Caenorhabditis elegans: one gene and its partners. The protein of the gene in region 2 interacts with the protein of the main gene of each other region in a pairwise test. Each region holds a gene or a part of one and is shown on either strand. Other genes may lie near its edges.

Region 1 (3,094 bases), on a different chromosome or scaffold from region 2:
ATTTTGAGTTAAAACTGTATACTTTTGACAGTTTCAACAATTTTTTTACAATATGCAAATCGAACTAAATGTTATGATCTCTGCAAAACCTTCATATTTGCAAATAATTTTTTTCAATGAATTTTTTTACTCAGCGTTTTTTACTTTCTCACTTAGAAAAAAATATATACCCTAGCAGGGGTTTGAACCTGTGACCTATTTCCCCAAAGGCAAGCCTGTTATCCACTGCGTCAACCCCTTCCTTCCTGGCTACTTCTCCGGAATTGCGCGCGCGCACGCATGGCTAAGTGAGTAAGAGGCTTGGCTATGGAAAAATAGGTCACTGGTTCGATTCTCAGGTAGGCTGTTTAGTTTTTTCTAGGTAAGAATTTGGAATTTTCATGGCTTGTGAGCTGAAAATTGGAGTTTTTAGCCATTATTTCTTCTTTTTTTCTAAAAAAAAGAATTTTTGAAGTCAATTTTAGTTTTCATATTTTAGAAAAATAGTCAAATGTACACCAATGCTTGAAAACTAGGAAAAAACTGAAAAATATCCGGAAGAGTGCTTGAAAGTGAAAAACAAAGGGATTAGTGGGAATTTTTAATTTTTTCGCAAAATTTTTCTCAATTTTCATAAACAGCTGTGCTAAAAATCTGGAAAATGCAGGAAATTGAATGTGCTCGGTGGGAAAAATTAGGAAACATGAATTATTCCTAAAAAGTAACAAATAATAAGCTAACACGCAATTATACACATTTTTTGCTGCTTTGGTGGCTTAAAAATGACGTAAATATAGCTTTTATTCAAACAAAAAAAATACATTTTTTCTAAAGATTGCGAAAAAAAAAAATTCTGGAAATTTTGAAAATTTCGAAAAAAATTTTTTTTGGAAAATTTGAAAATTCAATTTTTTTTTAATTTCAGGATTTTTGCTTAAAAACCCACAAAAATATGCTAACTCCAATTTTTATGCAATTTCCCTTCCTGAAAATCTAATTTTCCACTTAAAAACCACACAAAGAACACAAAGAAATCCAATTTTTTTTTTGGAAAAAAAAAAAAATTCTGAGATTTTCGCTCTTTTAGCCTATGCTGCATAATAATCCTAGAAAAATATCGGAAGCCTGACAAGAAGTTTCCAGAAAAACGTGACAATTTCAGCTTCCGGGGGGTTTCACACATTATTTTCTTTTCTCTGGCTATATTTTCGAGTTACATGGGAAAATGACAAATTTTTAACTAAAAGAAAGCAAAAAACAAATTTTTTTTTGAGAAAAGTGATGTGCAGCAAAAAATGCGGAAAATTTGGTTTTTTTTTAACTTTTAATTTTCCAAAAAACGAGGTTTTGCGTTGAGTTTGGCAATTTCAAATTCAAAAATTCGAATTTCTCACCTAGAAAAACCTGTATACCCCAACCGGGGTTCGAACCTGCGACCTATTTTTCCAGAGACGAGCCGCTTACCCACTGAGCCATGCTGGCAGGCGCGCGGTGCGCCACTTTTGCCACGCGGTTCCCATGTGGCGCAGTGGGTAGGTGGCTTGACTTCGGTGAAATAGGTCACAGGTTCGAGCCCCGAACTGGTTTACAGGTTTTTCTAGACGAGATTTTTGAATTTTTTAGTTTAAAACTCTGAAAATCGACACGAAATCGGGTTTGCTGATTTTTTTTTCGAACTTTTCATTTAAATTCCACCAATCTTTGGGTCTTCACAACCATAAATTTAATTTCCCGTAAATAAATTAGTTCTCCTTCCGAACCAAGCCACCAGCTGACACCAACGGCTGTGTTGCACTTCTCCCCGTCTCGCACCGTCTGCGTCTCCGCATGCTCTCTAACTCTCTCCCTCGGAGGCTGAATCCCAAGCCATCTGCTGTCCGCAGAGTGCTCATTCCTCACTTTTGTATTGATTTACTGAAAATTTGACGAGTTTTCGCCAGAATTTTGCTGGATTTTCACAAAACTTCCTGTATTTTCAGCCCAAAAATGTCTGAAATCTCCATAAAACGTGCACATGAAAACGAAAAAGATGCAGAGGAAGATATGGAGCCAGCAACTAAAAAAATTAAATCTGATGACGTCACAGAGGAGCAGGAGAAGCCTGAAATTGTGGAGAAAGCTGAAAAAGTGAAGAGCATGAAAAAGGAAGAAGCTGGCAGCCTGAAATGTGAGTTTTTGAGCAATTTTTGAAAAGAAATGGGTTAAAATAGACTGAAAATGGATGATTTTAAACTTTTTTCTAAAAATTAAAATTTTGAAAATTTTGATCAAAAAAAAAATTTTTTTTTGAAATTTCGAAAAAAAAAATGTTTGAAAAATTTACAATTTTTATTTTTTTTCCTATTCTTCATCAGAACATTTGAATCAAAAAAAATTCCAGCACCACCCAACGATGAAATGGAGTCAGAATTCACACATGTGCTCAATGAGCTCTCAAAACAGAAAGAGACTATCAAAAAACTGCTGGACGATTTGAGAGCGGACAATAAGAAAAGGAAGACACACAATATTAGAACGATTTTCCAGAGAAAAGATTGAAAATTTACTTTTTTTTTGACTATAAATATTTATTTTGCATATTTCAATTTTTTCAGTTTCAACAAAAACCGAACATTTTCAGAGCTTGCGACTATGAAATTCGAGTTTAGGAGAGTAGATATACCAAAGACAAATTTAAAAAAAAACACAGAAAAAAATTGTGCCACAGTGCGGACTCGAACCCCGGCCTTCAGATTGGTAGTCGTCGAAAATCCCACTGAGCCATTTGAGCATAATTTTTAAAAATCGCGGAACTACATTTTTTCAACAGTTTTTGAAATTTGAAAGACTTATCATTGAGTTTTCAAAGTTTTAGATACCTAAAGTTACTGGAATAAATAAAAATTCTCAAACTTTGATACTTGGAAATGAAATGTAAATGAAAATTGCTTCCGTGAGAATTCGGAGAAGTTAATGAAAAGCAACAACAACATATTACCTTAACATTTTTCCATCCAAAAAACCGAAAAATTAAACACCTTTTGTCAAAATTCAGTTCAAAAATAAGCTTTAAAAACTTTGAGATCTAAAAATTCAGATTTCTCGCCTAGAAAAACCTATTGTCACTCTCGTGGAT
Region 2 (4,616 bases):
CAATTTATCATCAGACCTCTTGTATTGTCAACACAAAACAATGTTTCTCTAATTTCTCTATATGTCTGCCTGTCTGTCTGTATATCTGCGTGCCGTTTCTCTCTATGTCTATCTTTAGTTGATTGTGATACTTTAGGCGAAAACAGTGAGGTGGCAGTCGAGCGGATACTTTGTCCTTTCTCTCCCATCGATTATTGACACGCTGCGTCCCACATTAATTTTTTTTTGCATTATTGGAACACGATTCGATGTGGCAAGTGAGTTTAGGCATAATTTATTCTCATAAACGGAGAAGCACGTATGAGCTTCCAGATATGAAACTGCTGCACACCTTCTTCAAACACTTTTTAAAAAGTTTTTAAAGCTTAAATTTCAGATGTAAAACTTCAAAACCATCATGTCATCCACTACATCTTCTAATCTGTCATGTCCGGCTTGCACTCAGAAAAAAGTGAAAAGCCGTTTCAGTTGGCGAGCAATTTTATACGCAATTTTTTGCTTTCCGTGTGGAATCTACTGCTGCATGAAACGGAAAACATACTATTGCACACAATGTCAATGTGATGTGAGTTTTTTCTTTCAAAATAAAATTAGAAGGCTTAGTTCTTATGAAAATGAGAGCTTTAGTTATAATTTCTAAAGAAATGTATTGGTGTTCTGCAATAGCTAATGTCTTATCTCGTTTTTAATAAATCAAATGTTGCAGGTGGTTAAACGTACTGAAACCCGTGCTATTTTACCAAGAACTCCCGGATTGGGCTACAACTTCCGTTTGTACGAATCTACAAAAACGGCTCTTCCAGCTAGTTTTGCTGCATATCGTAATCCGGCAATGACAGCATCATCCACAGATTCTACAGTTTCCACCACACTATCAACTGCACCAATTGTGGATTAATTTTTTGAATTTTTGATTTCGCCAGGGTTTCAAAAGGGGTTTGTTACGTTTAAGTAATTTTCATAAGTAAATATTTCCGATTATTCTGATACTTGATCAGAAGTTTTAAATGATACTTATCCCATTTTTCTTTACAAAAAAGTCTCCTATCGTCTCACCATTTGATTTCTTGTCACTTTGCTCTTTTTCGCGTTCCAAAGCCAATAGTTTCGTCTCGAAAGCTTTTGATTTTATCAGTGCTCGATGATCGACCTGTAAATTATTTGAAATATTTTTCAGTTTCTTTTTCTGTTTGATTTTGGTCAATTAAACTACGGGTTTCAGTGTGATTAATTACATAACTTTGAAACGTATATTTCCAGAATTTTTCCGTTAATAAATATAATACTTTTTCTTTTTTATAGATATTTCAATTGACTTTTCTCTAGACTAGAAATTTCGAGATGTTAAAGATTTTCTTATGGAAAAAATGAGCTTCAACAGGAAATAAAAATCTTACCTGTGAAGCACCCAAATTCTCTCTCAAAAGTCCAATATGTTGCTCATAGATGACAATATCAGCTTCAAGAACTTCAATAAATCTATCCTGTGCTTGAATGGCATCCTTCAATCGGTCAATGTCCTCAAAAATAGCTTTTTTCTGACATTGATTGTAGTTGATAGCGGATTCAGCTTGAAGGAGATCTTCAACCATCAATTCCATCAGCTTTTTAGATTCGTCAACTTCTGAGCTCAAGGATCGTTTGGCTACTTCACTAGCATCTAACTCTGTTGTCAACTTGTGAACTTTTTCTTTCAAATGAGCAACTTGATCACGAAGAAGAGCATTTTGTTCTATTTCCCAATTTCGAGAAGATCGGAGAGTGTCAACTTCTTCTTGAAGACGATCCCTCTGAAAATTGGAAACGTTTCTATACAAAATGATATATTCATCTATTTCACTTACCTCATCTTCATATTTTCCATTGATATCTTCAAGTGTAGTTTCCAACTCCTTGATTCTTGCAGTCGCCGCAACCTTTGCCTTGAGTCCAGCAGTTTTTGCCTCTTTTGTGTATTTGAGAATTTCAGATTCATAGTCTGCTTTCATTTTTTCAACAGATGAGTTTAGTTCGATAACTTGCTGACGGAGTAAAGCATTTTCAGATGAAGCTTCTGTTAAAGCAGACTCGAGAGCGTCTGAAGTTGAAGAAGACATTGAAATGGTGGGATAGCGGGAAACAGATGTAGATGGAAAATTGGAAGATGTTGATGTTCCAATTGAAGAACCATTTGGATTTAAATCAAAAGTTACACGTTTTCTTTGATGTTTCCTATGGATTCCGTCAATATCTGGAAGAGCGCTCAGTTTGCTAGATGGATCAAATGGAGGATCCAATGGTGGAGGAGAGAAGGTTCCCGATGAACTTGAGACCATCGTTTCTGAAAAATAGATCAATTCAATTCCGTTAAACTTTAAAAAAAAGTTTTATATCGTCACAATTTTCAATTTCTAGCCGTGTGCTCAATTTTCGAGCTTATTTTCAAGAAAAAGAGGAGCATACAAATTACTTGGGCAAGCTACCTTTAGATTACTGTAGGTTACAGTTGTCCTAACACGTCTAAGATCAGCAATTTTCCTGTTTGGGAATAATAAAAAAATTCTAAAAATAAAACTGAACGTCATATATATTCAGAAATGGTGCATGACAACTTCATTTTTTTTTAACCAAAAAACTTTACTCACTTCTCTGTGCAATGACATGACCTGGAGATGAACTTCTTGCTCTCCGTTCACTCTTTGAATTTGATAATGGTACTGAGGAATGAGCCATCAAAGAAGGCTCAGTTTCTGTCGACATATCCTTCTTGTCTCTATTCATTTCTTCAAATTTTTGTTGAACAATTCTCATTGCTTGATTTTTGACTGAAGCAACTTCATTGTGCTCACGAACTCTTTCCTAAATACAACTCCAATATGAAACCACAGAAACAGAATAATTCTCACCTGTAAGTCCAAAATTTGCCTTTCTTTATCCAATATCACATTATTTAAATCTATAATTCGGTTATCCTTATACACCAGTTGTTGATGAACCCGTTCATCGATCCGTTTGTCGGCCGATTTTTCTTTTTCTTTGGAGGTTTTGTCCTCCATTTCTGAAAAGTATTATATTTGTATTTAACGTATTTAAAAAGTGACAGTATACTTCAAGGACGTGAAGAAACAATGAGAAGAAAAGAAATTTGAAAATTATAGTTTAAAAAAAGGGATGACGTAAAATTATTCAAAAACTTTTTAAATAATTTGTAAATCCAGAATAAATTTTCTGCGAGAGATTGGAGAGAGAAACAGAGAAACCCCGTTCCACGTAACGGAGAGGCGCTGAACCCACGTGGAAAGCTCACATTTTAATCTCACGCAATAATATGCGTCTCACGTTTTTTTTTCAAAAAGTTTTCCGAACACATCCTTTTTTTTCTAAAATTTTTTAATCTTCCGACACTACTTGAGAAGTCTTATAATGGATGAAAAATCGTTTTTTAAAGTTAATAAACTGATTAGGTATAAGGAGCATGCCAAAAATATATTCACTTTCAGTTTTTTGATAATGTTGCAAATTATTCAAAAGTATAACTCGTAACCTAGTTATCAGAAGTATAACTAACAAAATATTTATTTTTGTATTTAAAGGTTGCTGAAGTAAAATAATTTTCATTTACTGTTTCATTTTTTAACTATAATAATAATATACTCTAGAAATTCCGCTTTTTTTGGTACTAGTGAATATAATTAACTTATTTGAACAAGTATACAAAAGTAAAAATAATTTGCTTCTGAATTAGCTTCTGAATTAGTTTCGGAAATAGTTTCGGAATTCATTTTAATCATTCTCAACAATATCAAAAACCAAAAAAGGTTGCTTCTTTGGCTAGCACTGTGAATTAATACAGCAATTTAAATATAGGTTATATAACTAAATTTGAAACATAAGGAAGAATATATGAAACGACTTAAAACAGTTACAAATCTACGTGCAATTTAATTCCTGAAGAATCAAAAATGAAGTTTTAACACGAAATTCTACAAAAAACTGGTTCGAATTAGTTCCTTTCGAGAGACACGTCGACCAACACGGCACCCGCGTTATTGATTTTCTGCTGACGCACATTCGTTTGCGGTGGCGCATTTCACTTTCGCGGTGACCATTGACATAGTGTATGGGCCAAATAATGGGAGAGCTCGGTGAAATATTAGTGACATTAAATACGGATATTAATTACAAAAAAGAAATCGATGGTAAAAATAACCAAATGACTATTTTGGCATGAAAAAACATGACTTTTCAATTTTTATTTTCTGTTTTGGAACTCTTCATGTAGGCCATTTTAAATCATTAGTTTTCTGTGCGGTGTGTATTCAGAAAAGTTAAAGTAAGCATTGAAAACTGTGAACAAAACGTTATAAGAACACGTCTCATTGTCTGTCAGTACATGAGAGCACGATGTAAAAAAGCAAAGCACACAACTGATATTTTTGTTAAAATAATTTCTGTCTTACTAAAGTTTTTGGGTCAAGATAGATCAAACAGCATCGAGAAGAAAATTTACTAAGTTTGGTAACCCATGAAACACAGTTCTCTTTCTATTTTCAAAAGGCATTTGTGTCTATTAAGCTCATCAGTTCTTCTGAAAAATCAGCATTACTGATAGCATAAATTCTAGGCTTTTCAGGTCA
Region 3 (7,790 bases), on a different chromosome or scaffold from region 2:
TCACACAAGAATTTCAGCTTCTGAGCTTTCTTGTGCATAAACACTCCATCCAAATGGCCAGTGTCAACGGATCGAATCTCAATCGCCTTGTTGCCCCATCCCATAATCTGACCCGTTGAAATGTACGCCACACTGCTTGGCATTTCTCCCCATTGCAGGACTACATTCTTTGTCATCCTTCCGTACGTGTTAACATATACTCCCTCATCTGAAATAAGAATAGATAAAGAAGTGAATACTATTTTTGAAAACTCACTGTCATAACAGAGAAGGAGTTGCATTCCATTGGAGTTTGGAAGAACAACTATGCAATGTGGAGTCGTAGTTTGACCGCTCTAAACAATTAAAAATAAAAGGCTAACATTTAAATGATTCATCTTTGTTTTCAATTCTTATTCTGAAGTTATCATACCTGTGCTGGCGTATAAATATCATAGACCGCTGCAGAATCCAAATCAATTGCATGGAATCCACCTGTCGATCCATAAAGAACCTTGAGTCTTGCATTGTCTTCAACTGTCAAGTCGACAATCAAAGGAACATGACTCAAAGATCCGAATGACTTGAAACTCATGAACTTATGGTATGGCTTCGGTGCCCACGCATAAATCTCAATTGACGACTCTAGACCAACTACCAAGAACTTTATCCTTTCATAGCGAACAATTTTGAAATGAATGGCTCCTTGCAAATCTCCAACATTAACCCATCCATTTCTTTTTTCAGTCGTATTGGCGCTTCCAGCACCCTATAAGACATAAAATTAGATATATCCAAAATGTTTATAAACCATACCTCTGTTCTTAAAATTTTCTGACGGAGCCAGCTCAAATAATACACTCTGATTCTCCTTTTTCTTCCGGAAATTGTTGCGAGAATATTTTGTCCCTCGAGAACCGTCATCTGATCAAACCTTCTCCGACTGATGAGCGGGTAAACTTTTCCTTGTCCACTTCGATCCAAAAGCATAAGTCCACTGTCTGTTCCAATAAGCAAGTTAACTCCCCAGAGAGCTGCACACAAAATCTCTCCACTGAACTTTTTCTTGTACTTCCTGATTTCTGGAGCATCGTTCTCAGCTGGTGTTCCATTAGAATTTGGTGTCACATTAACTTGAACTTGGTTAATGTCTTGCGGTCTCCCTGGTCGATTTACTGTGCCACCACCGGCTCCGGCGCCACCACCAAAATATCCAACAAATGACTTTTCGCGATCACGATTCGAAAATGAATGCTGAATTGATGAACGGCTGTCAGAGTTTTGGAATCCATTTGGTTGCTGAAATCAAATCATGTTTTATTATTTATTAAAATTTATCTTCTGACAAAATATAATCACTTCAACAAAAATTTGTATTTTGATTTTTGATCATCAAAAATATATCCAAAGACATTGAAACAATAAAAAAAGAACCGCAACAAAGAAGAACTACATATCTTTCGAAAATTAAAATAACTGAATAACCAGCATCAAAAACAATAAAACACAGGATGATTTGTTTTCTGAAAAGATGACCAACAGTTTAACCAAAGGGGGAATAAATCGGAAAATCACAACAAATTCTGTCATTTCAAATCGAGTAACTTACATAAAAACTTCCAAATAGAGAGGCGCTCTACATAATTATAAAATTACATGTTTTATCGTTCAAATTTATGGTTTCCACTACATATATTATTCTCAAATCAAAACACTCACCTCATCTGCACGATCGTCACTCATCTGGCGTGTTTGGTCATTTATTTGACGGCGGAGTTGTGGCGATTTGGGCAAGAGATCTGGCAGGGCGCCGCGCGAGCTTGAGGCGTTCTGGAACCAAATAAGATGTTTCACGAGTGGTATAGAGCCGTCAACACTATGTATAACATTGGCCGAGAGAAACCAAAAAAAAATAGAGAAGGGACAACGTACAATTGGTTTGAACATAAGGGGCTCGTTGCCTTCCTCGTTGTCCGAGTCGCTGTCGTCGTCGTCAAGAGAGATAATTCCAGGGCGAATCTAGAAAATATTCTGTTTTTTAAATACGTTTTAAATTGAGTTGTGAAAGCTTATCTCAAATTTTCCCGGCGTCGTGGCAGTTCCTTTTATTTTAAAAGCACCTTTATGTTATTGCCAGTTATAATTTTTTGAAAATAGCTGCTACAGAAACAGTAGTGTTTTTATTTTTTTAATTGGCTTTTTCATATTTATTTAATTTTTAAAGTGAGCATCTTATTGATATTATCGATTTTTGAAATGCACCAATTTAGATAATTGAAAAAAAATAAAGAAACGAGTATATATTTTCGCTCATCTCACACTACCAACCTCTGGAATTTTCTTTCCCTTGTAAGCCCCATGGCCACTATTTCCATTTCCATTGCGACGCACATCTGACACAAGTGTATTCTCGCCATCTGTCGGTGTTGGCGGAAGCGGCTTATTCGGGCCGCGCAGTGTGCCTTCTCCGTTCATCATAATGTCCTTCAAATCGTCCCACTCCGCATCTGCTCCATTATCCAATTCACCCACGTCAATCGTGTCTGTGATAGACGAGATCGATGCCTCACGCGGTGGTGGCGCCGGTGGCGGTGGGCTCATGCTCTCCTCGCGACTGCGTCCATTGTGATGACCGCCCATTTTAGAAAGCTCACTGGCGAGCACGTCAAGATCTTCTGGTTTTACATGAGTGATCAGAAGGGGTTCTGACATTTTTCGAGACTGTTGTGGAGCAGGTACACTTGCAGAAACACGTGCAATCGGCATAGCGTGGTGAGCCTGACGTTCTCTTTCCCGTCGCTCTTCTCGTTCCGATCGTCTTCTTTTTTCATAGTTTGCTAAATCCGCCAAGTGTGGGGCTGCAGGATGGGATTGTTGTGGAGATCGCTGAAAATTTATTTACGTTATTTAAAACTTTTAAAACTACACTACAAACACTTTTAAGCCAGGTAAACAAACATTTTTTCTGTATAGCCTCCATTATTTTTATTATTAAAAAAAACCTCAACTGGTTATTTGAATCGTTCATACCCTACATGCTTCAACTTTGTTAATGTTTGTTATTATTAGTATATTATTAGTACTGAATGACTGTTTAGACAATATTAAAAGGAAGGTAAGAAAACAAAACCTGATGATGACTCACGGGCCGTGGCCTTGATGCTGGCGAATGACGTGGACCATCGGCAGCTCCTCTAGATGAAACAGCCCTCAGTTTGACTTCGGATGATTCTCGTCTTGGCTCAACGTATCTGAAGGTTTCAAATTTACAATGAAACTATTAAGAGAACAACGTCAAATCTGAACTGTGAAAAGTATTGAGTGAAAGTGGTGACATACCGAGACTGCTGATATTGGAATGGAGCTGGTGCTGGTTGCTGGGGCAGTCTCCTCAGCTGCTGAGCACCTGGTTCTGCAAAACCACGACTACTCTCTTGCAATTTTTGAAAGCCTTTACGCAATGTGTTATCCATTGGAATCATTGAACTGCTCTCCGAGTCATCTCGAATGCCCATTGAAGGACCACGATTGTTCGGAGATGGTTCATCATCTTCACTGCCGGAATACTCGTAGTCTGCATCATCCTTCTTCACCCGCCGATTTCGGTCAATATGCTCTTTGATTGAATGCCGGATCGTTTGCTCATGTGGTTGTTCTTTGATAAATGGATGACGAAGTAGGGCTCCAGTGTAGGGCCTTTGATGGTAATCCTTCACAAGTACAGTCTCTGAAATTTAAAACTTGACCTGCATCATTTAGACTTGAAAATATTGTTTGGAATGTACTCTATTTGCCCGTGCGTGCTTCCTTAAAATTTCAGCAAAAACCCATTTGCAAAACTGTTTCAAAAATACGAATAGCGACACATTTTTACAATTTATTGTTTCATATAATCGGACTGAAAAATTATCTGCAAAAAAACTCACCAATAAAAGTCTCGAACTTCTTGGTCCACTTCTTATTTCTTTTCAACTTTGGCGGCGGATTTCTTGGAATTAAAAATAACGCTCTCATCGGATGCATATCGCACAACGGTGGATGACCTTCCGCCATTTCTAATGCCGTGATTCCTAAATTGGATAACAATAAGATTTTGAAACTCCATGAGTCATTTTCCATTTATACAAAACCCCTGTTTGGTTTTTTTTTGCTTTTTTAATGCTGTTGTACTACGAATTTTGTGCCCATTTACACATAAATGCAAATAATGAAAGAAAGCAGACACAAACACAACGAAAATGTCCGGAGGGAGATATGTTGAGGGAATTGAAGGAGACGGAGCAAATATTGGAATAGTGAGAAAAAACATCAAAATAGTATGTTCAAGAACAGACTATAGCTCTACTAGAACACTTTTGGAAATTAAATGACGTTGAATATGTATATTAAAAGTTTCAAATTAGAAAAGAACTTAGTTTTCAGTGTTCATTTAGCTAAAGTTTTCCAAAAAATTAGTTTCTCGAAATAGTAAGCTGATAGCCATATTTTTTTGTTGTCAGCTTTCTAGAGAAGGAAATCAGCGTTAGTTTTCTGCAATTTACCTCAATTTGATTATTATTGTAAGTAGAATTAAATTAATAAAATTGAGAAATATATTTTGGGTGCGTTGCTAAATTCAGTGTTTAAATCAGTGAAATGCTGATACCAAGCCTTATAAAAACTTTTTATATTACACATCGTCATTACTTACCCAAAGACCATAAATCCGAACGTGAATCATAAGTAGCTTCAGGGCTTTCATCACATGCAATAACTTCGGGAGCCATCCAGTATGGTGTTCCAATAAATGTGTTTCTTCTTCCAACTGTCTTGTCAAGTTGTGCAGATACTCCGAAATCTACCAGCTTCACCTCAGCACTGTCCGTAAGAAGCACATTTTGACCTTTTATGTCACGATGGATAACTTTGCTTTGATGCAAGTGGTAAAGTCCCTATAAGAAATACATTTGAAAATGTCTGAGAATCGGTAAAGACAAACCCTCAAAATTTCTCTACAAATATATGCAATCCATTCTTCTTTCAAAGAGCCTCCCTTTGTGTTTTTTACAAGATCGGTGATAGAACCACTTCCACAAAACTCCATTACCAGCCATAATTGATCGTGTTTTCCGGTCGAAGAGGGCAGCTTTTTGATGAAAGCACCATAATAAGTGGCTACGTTCCGGTGGTGGGAGTGCTGCAAATCAATTTGATTCTTCCGTGTAAGACCTCATCGATGTGTTCTCCTTTTTTTGAAATTTCTTTTTCACACTATTTCAAAACTGTCTTCAAAATAGCTTTCGTTTTTAAGTTTTCATCAATTCATACAAATATAATTTATAAATGTATTTATCAGAAATTAGATATTTCTTTTTTTCTTTTTAACTGATTTAAAATTCTGGACAACTTAATAATTCGAAAATAGGTTTAATTCCATTTCTCATATTTGGGGAATTTTGAAAGGAATATTTTTGTTTAACCAAAACACATACCTTCTTTAGCATATTAATTTCTAACTTAATTTCATCTTCTTCATCTTCGTTGATATTCATAATTTTGATTGCAGCAAGTTGCGCTGTTTTAACGTGTCGACCCTTATACACTTGCCCGTAAGTTCCATTTCCAACAACCTCAATTAGCTCGAAGATTCCAGCCGGGTCCTGAAAAAAATCATTGTGATTTCCGTGTTGTTTGGTGTAGTTTCGCATTTTCTTTCCCCTACTCAGCTGTAAATATTTCTGAGAAGAGAGCAACATGATTTTTTAAAATTGTTACACCACACACACACACTCGAAGAAAGAAAGTGGGACTTCGTCTGTGTGTGTGTGAATGTTGCGAAATACACTTTTTCTTAGTTTTGAGACAAAAATTTAAAGCTGACAAAAATTGATTGTTTCATTCAACTTCAAAAGGTAGTTTTCTATAGAAACACCATTAATTTCACGGGCGATAACCCAGACTGAATAGAAAAATTAACATTTTTCAGTAAATTCATTGTGCGCATTCTACTTGATGTATGGGTGGTCACGAATACTCACCCTTAGAGAATTCAAATCAATCTCGTCGAGTCCTGATGACGACATGGTTTTGGGTGCTGTGAGCGGCTTGGAGCAAGCCGACACTTAAACCACACAATGACTCCTTGAATTTAACTTGAATCTGAAAAAAAAAACACTTATTGTAAATTACAAGAAACAGGAAGTATAACAAAACAGAAAAAAATTTTCAGATTATATCAAAAGTAACAAAAACAGAAATATATTGTTTTCATCTAAAGACTCAAAATAAAATATTGTTTCCAAGATTATTACGAAGCAACCATTCTGTTTCAGAAAAAAAAACACATGTTGTGATAAAGAAAATTAGATCGATAAGGAATGCATCATCAAAGACGTCGGAGAAAGACCAGTGGACGGCACAAGGAGGACGGACGCGTCCAGCATTGTTACACAGCCGGGAAATAGAGGAAAAAAATGAGAATGCACAAATTGTTTAAATGTGTTCAAAAAGTAGAAAAGTCTTAAGTGTTTTTTCTGCAAAAACAATATATTTTTCTTATAATGTTGGAAAGAATTATCAATTTTTAAGTTTCAGACAACCGTTGAATAGGATAACTCATATTCTGTTGCTGCAAAAAAAATTTCCTAAAAATGCTCGCAATTTTAAATTTTTCTGATAGCAATCAAGACGTGCAAATTTGAATTGACAAGCGGTCAAAAGACATCATCGGGTCAAGCAGACAAGGTTGTGAAAGAGAGTGAGGGATGATCGAAGGCCGCAAGAAATTCGCCTTGATTCCGAAAAGAAGGCCTCCGACGTCCGCCTTTCTCTCTCTCTCCATTTCATTCCCCCGCTCGTTTTCCCGAATAATGATGAAGGACGGACGAAGAATGAAGAAGACGCTGGTGGAGAAGAATGGAAACAGCGCCTGTCCATTCCCAAAGAAGACACACAAAAAGGCAACAGCAGCATCACATATAGCTGCCGACTGAGTGAGAATAGCGGGATGCCTCTGTTTGGTGATCTACATTTATTATATTGATTTGAGATGAAATGATGCTTATCTTCTAAATAGATATTAATGATGGTGAATAAATGAAGGGGGATCGAGTAAGGGGTAGATGTATCAATTTAACGAATATTCTCTCCAATGGCCGATTAACAATGATTTAGCGATGGTATTTGTCTCTACGACCACTAGATCCTAGTGACGCTCATGGCTAAAAAAAACAAGGTTATGGCACATTGAGGTATATTTCCTATTTAGACGTTGCAAAAAGAAGGAGAGGTTTTAAATTACAAACAAAAACTATTCTTGTGGAAACGTTTTATTTAGCCTACATAGTATCCATTTCGGGAACAATTTTTTCAGAAGAAAAAAAGGATTGTATCAAAAAACCATAAAATATTAATATATTGCCTGATTTTTTTAATTTACAACATGAATCTATTGCCAAAATTATTATTTATTGAAAATTTTGAATTGCTCACAACATGTTCTGATGTAGAATTCATATTTTGAAATATATGTTAATTTCAAAACACGTGTTTTCATTTAAAAGTTTTCCATGTCCTGCACCGAATGCTTTGCTTTGACAGCTTATAAGCTATATCTTTTTCTGAATATCTTTGTAGCTTATTAATTTAGAAATGGTAATTTACTATGCCTAAAAATGAAAAAAAAAACTCCACACGTTTTTATTTAATAATCAATTTCAAAAAATTAAGGGGAAATAATACACAAGTACCATTAATTTTTATAGCTTATGATACTGAATTAAAATATGAAGTAGCAAAATAATTACATGGTGTGTAAAAATGATCAAGAAAAT
Region 4 (7,966 bases), on a different chromosome or scaffold from region 2:
TCCTCTTCATCTTCTCGTCTTTCTTATTCTGTTACTAGTCATTAGTTGCCATTCGCATTCTGGTGGTAGAAAGAGCACATCGGAGATATATCTACTTTGTCTCTTCATTTTCTTTTTTTTCCGTAAATATTACACCTAGATTCAAAAAATCTAGGCAGATAGTACACTAGGATAAAATACATGCACTTGATTTAAATTTTTATGAAGTCAATCCTGTTGTAAATCCTACTCCGTTCGAACTTTCACTTTCATTCTTTTTTCCTTCCGTTGCCGGTCTAACTTGTCTCTTTGTATATATTATTTTTTTTCAGAAAACTACAACTAAACAATGAACTCCATCGTCAATGGACTCTACACCTTCATGTCCACAACCGTCGTCCCAGCAGTCACAGAACAGGCAGCGAACCTTGTTGGAGGAGCTTCTGCACTTGCCGAAGGAGCAACACAGGCTCTAACACAAATCAGTCAGACTGCTCTCGAGTGGGGATCTGGCTCAGAGGATGCCACGGCTTCTTCTGAAGTCTTCTCATGGGAGCAACAAGGGGCGGCGGCGGCGTCGTCTGATCTTCAAGAGGATAAAAAGGAGACGACAGAGGATGTTCACCAGGAGGCGATAGGAGCATCGTCACCAAATACATCGATCGAATGGGAAGTGATCCATGAGAATCCAGACGAGACGGGTCCAATCAGGCACAATCAATTTGAGATGGTGCAAAACAACTACGAGTGGATGAAGAATTCCAAATGATCTGGGATGAACGAAGAAATCCTATACATGTTCGGGTCTATTTTAATATTACTGTCCAATTTATGTCATGTTTTCGGTAATATTTACCGGTTTTCACAATGTTTCACAATAAACTTTCGTACGTGATCAATTCTACAATGTCCTTGGCAATAAAAACTACTTCAGACAAGAAATTTCAAAGACAACAGGGATTTGAGGTGTTAGAAATCATGGGCAATACTTAATGTAAAAAATCTATTAATAACAGAATATCGAGCTTCTTATCGGTTAATTTCGCAACCTATTACAACTCGAACAACATTCGCCAGTTTGCGTGTTCATTTTTGCATATTTTCTTGTTAGAACAGTGTTTGTTTGTTTTTATAGTCTACTTTTTTTTTAACGAAAAAGGGAAAAGCTTGTGACATCAAAATGAACTCGTCACATGTGCCGTTCGGTTCCTGTCTCCCGTGCCAGTGCATATATATGCACAGATGATAGATGTTCGCTTATATTTTGTGACATTATACACCTTTCTAAATATTTTAAAATCGAAAAGAGCTGTCTCAAATGTAAAAAGTGGTCCCTATTCCGAAATTATATCAAAATCAGTTTTGAAAAAATTTATTGTGAACAAAAGTTGCAAGAATTTTTGAATTTTTCTTTCGGCTGAAAATTCGAAATATTGTGCAATTTGATTTTAAAAAAAACCAAATAGTTGCATATGATTTTAGGGGAGCATATGCAAGGTTGCACTGAGTCTCATAGGGGTACTGTATTTTTTTATCTCTAATTCTCTAAACACTACTACTACTCGATTCTCTAATATATACAGTTTCTTCTTTCATTATTTTCGATTTACATTTTTAAATAATATGAAGATTTTAAAAATTGTATTCTTTAAAAACTTATCGAAACTTATTTCTAAACCAAATTTAAAAAGACCAACTCTCAAAAACCTATTATATTGATCCATATTCTGGGACTCTATATTGTCTCTTCTCTTCCTCTACTATGTTGGAATAATAATCAAATGGTCTCGTTAGCCGCCAGAAAGTTATTGATTACAAAGGTGTATACTGTTACATCAGATCGAGCGTTTTTGTGCACAGTCACGCCTATTTGGCAGCCTGCCATACGTTGGGTGTTCAGTCGTCCGTCGTTTTTTTTACCTAGGCTCTATGTTCTTAATTTCTTCTATGTAGTTTGATTTCCATATTACCTCGATTTCGTAACTATCCCTTTTTTGGCACAATAGATTATGAAATTGCGTGTTTGTTTCCTCAGCCCTTCTATTCATATTTTCCTTATCTAAAATGACTAAAACTTATTTCATTTTCAGAACCACAAGTTCTCAAAATGTCTTACTTCTCCTATGCAACCTCCATCTGGAATTCCGTATCAGAAATGGTCACATCTGCAGCTGAAACCGTCGGAACACTTGTCAACGCGGTTACTGAAGACACTACTCCAGTCGAACTCGTAGAGGTTCCACAACAAGAAGAACCAGCTGTACCAGAGAAGCTAGAGACTTTAGAGCCTGCAGAGGTGGAAGCATCTTCCAAGGAACAACTGGACGAGAAGGAAGACTACGATATGCTCGATGATCATGCTTTGTATGTCATAATGTACGAGTACGCTCGAGGAATCACCACGGAAGAAAACGTTTTCGTTGATTTGGAGGAATCGTTGCCATGTCATTGACTTCGCAAGATCTTCGTCTAGTTCGGATGATCAAAACTAATTATTTTTAAATTATTCATGTTTTCCCTACTTATAACCACTTCATCTGTTGTTTTATCAACTTTTTTTTTGTTTGAAACAATTCAGGTCCAACCCATCACACACTCCCAGTCCAATGCCTTTCTTTCCTTGTTTTCACTCGTTTTTTTCCACTGTTCACGGTTCTCTTCTCCTTCTCTTTGTTTCAACATAATTTTCATGTTCAATAAAACTGTAAAATATAATAAAGCTTACCTCAACAACAACCGCAGGTTTGCACAACTCATCTCGCATCTTCTCCATATTCCATTCAAGACCCAACGGTTGTTTTAGCACAGCCTCATAGTCTTCAACTCGGGAGTAGGGGAATGGTAGAGAACGTGGCTGGATCTTTCCGATACCCTGAAAGCTCATTTTTGCAATTAAAAAATCTAGGAGATATATCAGGTGCTTACATCCTTAGCCGTCATATTTTCAGCAATAATTACTCCGTTTCTCTCTCCGTCCCTTCTTCTCTTCTCTTTTGCTTTAATCACAAAGTTTTGGCGTCGCTTCTTCTCAGTCATTCCTGGTCCAACCCATGAGCCCCATCCGGCCAAATTGAGATCTACATCTTTAACTTTTTCCTTTTCTTTCACTCCTTCTTTCATATCTTCAAAATCTCCAATGACGTCATCATCCTTGAAAGCTTCATTGATAACTTGAGCGGCTTCTGCAGGAAAAAATCGTTGGAATATAGTTAATAAAAAGAAAAAAAAAGATTAAGCTTACCTTCATCAAACTGATCCATTTTCTCAACAAAATCCGACGAAACTTGTGTCAAGTCGTTTGTGTTGAGCTCTAGAAATTTGCTCGGATCGATTTCAATTTCCTTTTGTCGTTTTTCAGCGGCATGCACTCCAGCTGAATCCACTGCCTTTTCCACTTTTTCATCAAAAGTTTCTGCACGTTTAGCCTCCATCTTCGGATCATAATTCTTATCAACATATGATACTTTTCCAATTGTTCCTTTTCTCGCTGACTCCTTCGCTTTTAGTAGCTTCTTTTTCTTCTGCTTTGCCTTTTTCGCATCTTCTTTCTCTTGCCAAGTGTCATCGACGTCGAATAGAGGATTTTCACGTGATGCACCAGTATTCGCTGAAATACTTCGAGTTATAGCAGCTTCTTGTCGTTTCTTGGCTCGCATCTGAGCAAGTGTCACTTTTTGAGCATCGGAGTCTTCGAGGAAAGTATCAACTAGAGCCGTGCCAACTTGTTTTCTGGATTCTTTCTCCGCTTCTTGGGCGGCATCCTGAAATTTTTTAAAATTAATTTTAAATATAAAATTTTAAAAAATAGAATGTTACTACGTGAAGAATAAATCATCATTTTTCAAAATCCTCTACTTGATAACTCTTTTATTTTTATTTCTTCGATCTCAAACTACAGTTGTGGATATATCGATAACTATATCACAAATGATGAGCATGGAGTTATTTGGTTTACAGGTATTGTTTGAAAACTAAAAAATCCAAAAAATATAAAAATTTCAGCCAATTTTTATGATACTTCTGCAACTTGCTCTGTGTTGGACAGTTCCGGCAGCTATTCTGGTGAACTGCGGGAAGAAGTCGAAAGGAAAGAAAAAATACTCAGATGAAACAGGAACAACTGGAGGAACTACTGGAGGTGATGATGATGACGATGATGAGGATGATGAAAAGCGTCGTAAAAAGAAGAAAAACGATGCGATTGCGGCAAAAAAGAAAAAAGCAGCAGCCAAGGAAAAGGGAAAGATTCCTGCCGGAGCTCCAAAGCCTCCGAAAAATCGTGCTGCAATTGCTGACACCCATGATCCCAACTACCAGACATTGGCCGGATTGAACGATAACGTTTTTGAGCAAAAACAAGGCGGTGGTGGTGGTGGAGCTGCTCCAAAAGCTCCGGACGGAAAACCAGGAATGGCCGGAACTCATGATCCTAACTATCAAACTCTTGCCGGCTTGAATGATAATGTTTTCGATAAGAAAGGTGGTGGTGGAGCAGGACCACAGGCTCCAGCAGCAGGAGGTAAACCTGGAATGGCTGCAACACACGATCCAAACTATCAGACTCTTGCTGGTTTGAATAACAACGTGTTCGATCAAAAAGGTGGTGTTGGTGGAGGTGGAGGAGGAGGAAATGGTGCACCAGCTCCACCAAAAGCTCCTGCTCAACATGGTGCTAAGGCTGCAACTCATGACCCGAACTACCAAACCCTGGCTGGTCTCAATCAAGATGTTTTCGGTGCAGATAAGAAGAAAGCTTATTGAGAACTTGAATCCGTCTAATGAATTAGTAGTTTATGTCTCACTTACCTTGATTAACTCATGAATACTCTTCTTTTTATTTTGTGGATCTTCCGTTGAAGTTGGAGCTTCACCATCAGAATCTTCAGCGGTAGTTGCGACTTTTGCTTTTAATTCTCTTCCCATTCTGAAAAAATATTCCCATTTTAAAATTTTTGTTCCAAAATTAATATCTAACCTCAAATGCTCATCGAGCAATTTTTTGACCTCTGGATTTCGGCTAGCATGTTTTTCCAGCATCTGTTTGAATTTCTGATTCTGTCCGCGATGCTTCAAACTTCCTCTTTCCATGATTCGCTGTAAATCCATTTCGGCAAGTTTTTCATGAGCAGCGGATGGATCACGAGCAACCAAATCATCAAACTCTTTTAAAAGTTGTTTTCGTTTTTCTCTTTTTAGAATTCGATGATATCCTTTCGATTTGATTTTCTTCATATATCGATTCTTGGCCTCTTGGATTCCAACAATAGCACGCATTCGTTGCATTTGTGAAAGACGATCTTTTGCCATTTTAATATCTGTAGCCTTCATCAATTCCATCTCCTTTTCGGTCAGTACGGGCTCGGTTTTCTCGTCCTGAACGAAAATAATTATTAGGAGCAATTTTTCCACTTTTATTAAATTTTAGAACAGTTTAATTTGGAAGCAACAACTTACACCCCACATAATTCCATCCGGTTTTGTGAGAGGGAAGATCAATTGATCACTGACGCGGTTGCTTTGAACGAGCTCTGTCCAATTTTGTGTCACTTCTTTTCTGTAAAAATATCTTATTAATTAAATCACAAATCAATAATCTCACTTCAAATCAGTGAACGCAATTTTTCCTTCAATCTCCTTTCGAGCTTCAACATCTTTTAGAGGAATTAATGTTTTGCTTTTCAGCTTCTTTTTCGTAGTTGTTTCATCTGCTGTTGCTTCCGATTTTCGCTTCTTTCCTGTTTTTTCTGTCGACTCTAGGCCACCAATTCCGAGACTTTGCTTGGCTTTGTTGGTTGAAGGTCTGTAAAATTGCAAAAATCCTAAATTTAAAAAAAAATTTGTTTTTCAAATACCTTGAAACTGTAAGATGAGATAGAAGAGAAGTTGCGTCGGTTTTTGTTTTTGATGCTTTCTTCAGACGATTTTTCTTTACAGTTCCAGGTGTGTGAATTGATTGCAGAAGCTTCTGATGAGCAACGTCATCAAGATCCGAGTCATCACTCATTTCTGTTTCTCAAATTTCTATAATTTTATTCTGTTTTCTTTCAAAACATTATTAAGAAGTAAATGGTAACCGACAGAACGAGGTCAATATAATTGAAATTTTTCACAGATCTATTTATTTATTTGTTGAGAGTACAATAAAGAAACTTAAAATTCTGGAACAAACAATTACACTGCTGATGTTATGACCCACTAGAAAATGAAGACAATACATAAAACCGATTACTAAACAACTCTTTAAAACACCATCTTCAATGATTGGGTATGATGAGGCAGGGAACTGGTTTGAAGCACAGATTGAAAATCGGGATGAGGAACTAAATTTTTTGGGAAAAATTTAGATGGCGGTGGCAAGGGCATCCTTGTATTTCTTGACACGGGAAGCGATCGACAGATCGACGTACTTGTCTCCGATAGTGACAACAAGTCCTCCAAGAATCGATGGCTTGACGGCATAAGTCACCGTGAGCTTTTGTCCAGACTTTCCGATCTTGCTAAGGGCATCAGACAATGCCTTCTGGTTTGATGAGCTCAATTCTTCGGCGGAGGTGACCTGAAAATGATTTTTAGTTTTTAAAACGGTACGTACGAGCATCTTCAGGATTAAAATTTAGACTTGAAAATTTCCATTTCTACGTATTGAAAACATTCGCTATTCATATTTTATAATTTTACGAAAACAAATTTCAAAAGAAACATTGTTTTTCTTGGCAGTTATAATAAAAGTACCTGAACGAAAAGTTCTCCACGGTGAGCGCGCATGATGGATTCGAATGAAGAAACAACTGACTCGAGCTTGTTCAGACGTCCGTTCTCAGCCAAAAGTCCTGAAAGTTACAATTAAATTTGTAATTACACGTTAACAAAATACCAAGGAAGTTTCCAGTCTCTTTGGTAAGCCCCAATTTAGTTGAGATAGCCTCGATGGCGGTCTTCTTCTTGTTGGCCTTGAGAGTTGGGTCGAGGACGAACTCTTGGAACTTCTTGTTGTCCTTGTACACGGAGCGAACATTGTTCAGATCTGTGGAAATCTGGTCGAGCTTGTTCTGTTTGTGTCCGGCTGAGTAAAGAGCGGCGGCGTAACGTCCCTCGACTCCATGAACCTGAATCGGGGTCTTCACCAGCTGAGCCTTAGCGAGAGCAGCGCTCGTGGAGAATCCGCGTTTCATGAGTTGCGCCATTACCTGCAAAATTAAGAAATTAGGCAAAATTTAAATTTAATAAATGTATGCAAGCAAACGAATTAATTAAAACAACTTTTTAAATTTAATTAAGAAAAAAATAATAAAGAGTGGATTTTTACATACTTTTTCGTGAAGAATAGTCAAATATAGGTAAAGAGGCTTGCTTGGGATAAAAATTCGCATAAAATAGTACAAAAACTTAACTGAAATTCGATAAAAAAGAACTGAAAGCTAATTTCAAGAGAAAAAGGGCGGTCGTTGGCTGAGTATCACTCTCTTAACCATAAGCCAAGGTACGCAGCCAAATCACCGGCTGTCAGTTCAGTAGAGCGCATTTGGTGCTGCAATTTTTAGACAATTTTTTTTGTGGAGTTTTCTTGTTTGCAAACTTTCCATCTCGATAAAATGCATGTTCATGACAGGTTGCGTATAAAAGGTCGCAAAATGTTGAAGCTGCAGTTGAAATTGTTATCTTGTATAACTTCTAGTCATATTAAACGCAATTTTTATTGATTTTCATGTTACGTCATATATTTTCAGATCATGGGTACACAATTGGCCATCCTAGGATGGTTGGCTGTGGCTTTGGTGGTTGCTGCTGCAGAAAATAAGGTTTAATTTTAATAGTTGCTTCAAAAATCTAACATTTAGCATTTCAGAGTGCTTACGCACAAGCTGCAGACAACTTTCTCGATGAGCTCGCTGGAAAAGAAGTAGAAGCGGTTCCTGTGCCCGATGAAAAAGATCAAAATGAACATCATGAACATTCGTCTCATGGATCACACGCAGGTCATGGTGGA

Evidence for each region.
Region 1: the proteins of T28C6.7 (region 2) and C54E10.6 interact in a two-hybrid assay, tested with the Caenorhabditis elegans proteins (one large-scale study listed by BioGRID).
Region 3: the proteins of T28C6.7 (region 2) and mig-15 interact in a two-hybrid assay, tested with the Caenorhabditis elegans proteins (one large-scale study listed by BioGRID).
Region 4: the proteins of T28C6.7 (region 2) and utp-14 interact in a two-hybrid assay, tested with the Caenorhabditis elegans proteins (one large-scale study listed by BioGRID).

The regions. Positions count from the first base shown.
Region 1 is NC_003283.11:18,807,533-18,810,626, reverse strand, and holds C54E10.6 (Protein MNN4-like), read left to right. Parts: upstream 1-1,897; 5' UTR 1,898-1,965; coding exon 1,966-2,146; intron 2,147-2,359; coding exon 2,360-2,517; 3' UTR 2,518-2,558; downstream 2,559-3,094.
Region 2 is NC_003282.8:8,826,223-8,830,838, reverse strand, and holds the start of T28C6.7 (Kinesin motor domain-containing protein), read right to left. Parts: upstream 3,036-4,616; coding exon 2,886-3,035; intron 2,839-2,885; coding exon 2,625-2,838; intron 2,321-2,624; coding exon 1,845-2,320; intron 1,791-1,844; coding exon 1,398-1,790; intron 1,291-1,397; exon of another isoform or gene 1,151-1,290; coding exon 1,057-1,150; exon of another isoform or gene 899-1,056; coding exon of another isoform or gene 707-898; intron 566-706; coding exon of another isoform or gene 398-565; exon of another isoform or gene 377-397; intron 258-376; exon of another isoform or gene 112-257; intron 1-111. Other genes in the region: T28C6.8 (Membrane protein BRI3), read left to right, coding at 398-565, 707-898.
Region 3 is NC_003284.9:10,422,534-10,430,323, forward strand, and holds the start of mig-15 (Serine/threonine-protein kinase mig-15), read right to left. Parts: upstream 6,042-7,790; coding exon 5,997-6,041; intron 5,619-5,996; coding exon 5,451-5,618; intron 5,156-5,450; coding exon 4,958-5,155; intron 4,911-4,957; coding exon 4,670-4,910; intron 4,050-4,669; coding exon 3,906-4,049; intron 3,707-3,905; coding exon 3,319-3,706; intron 3,231-3,318; coding exon 3,110-3,230; intron 2,866-3,109; coding exon 2,308-2,865; intron 1,999-2,307; coding exon 1,912-1,998; intron 1,810-1,911; coding exon 1,699-1,809; intron 1,616-1,698; coding exon 1,589-1,615; intron 1,279-1,588; coding exon 796-1,278; intron 749-795; coding exon 413-748; intron 336-412; coding exon 257-335; intron 209-256; coding exon 1-208. UniProt on the Caenorhabditis elegans protein: Involved in cell migration and signal transduction. Important in several developmental processes including epidermal development, Q neuroblast migrations and muscle arm targeting.
Region 4 is NC_003279.8:5,422,458-5,430,423, forward strand, and holds the start of utp-14 (Small-subunit processome), read right to left. Parts: upstream 6,001-7,966; 5' UTR 5,984-6,000; coding exon 5,832-5,983; intron 5,780-5,831; coding exon 5,579-5,779; intron 5,534-5,578; coding exon 5,434-5,533; intron 5,353-5,433; coding exon 4,955-5,352; intron 4,904-4,954; coding exon 4,786-4,903; intron 4,773-4,785; exon of another isoform or gene 4,741-4,772; coding exon of another isoform or gene 3,982-4,740; intron 3,937-3,981; coding exon of another isoform or gene 3,907-3,936; exon of another isoform or gene 3,816-3,906; intron 3,741-3,815; coding exon 3,221-3,740; intron 3,162-3,220; coding exon 2,905-3,161; intron 2,852-2,904; coding exon 2,705-2,851; intron 749-2,704; coding exon of another isoform or gene 329-748; intron 1-328. Other genes in the region: F27C1.4 (uncharacterized protein), read left to right, coding at 329-748; F27C1.3 (Dauer Up-Regulated), read left to right, coding at 3,907-3,936, 3,982-4,740; atp-3 (Oligomycin sensitivity conferral protein), read right to left, coding at 6,320-6,535, 6,712-6,809, 6,854-7,166, 7,290-7,349; F27C1.2 (Copper transport protein), read left to right, coding at 7,710-7,778, 7,826-7,966.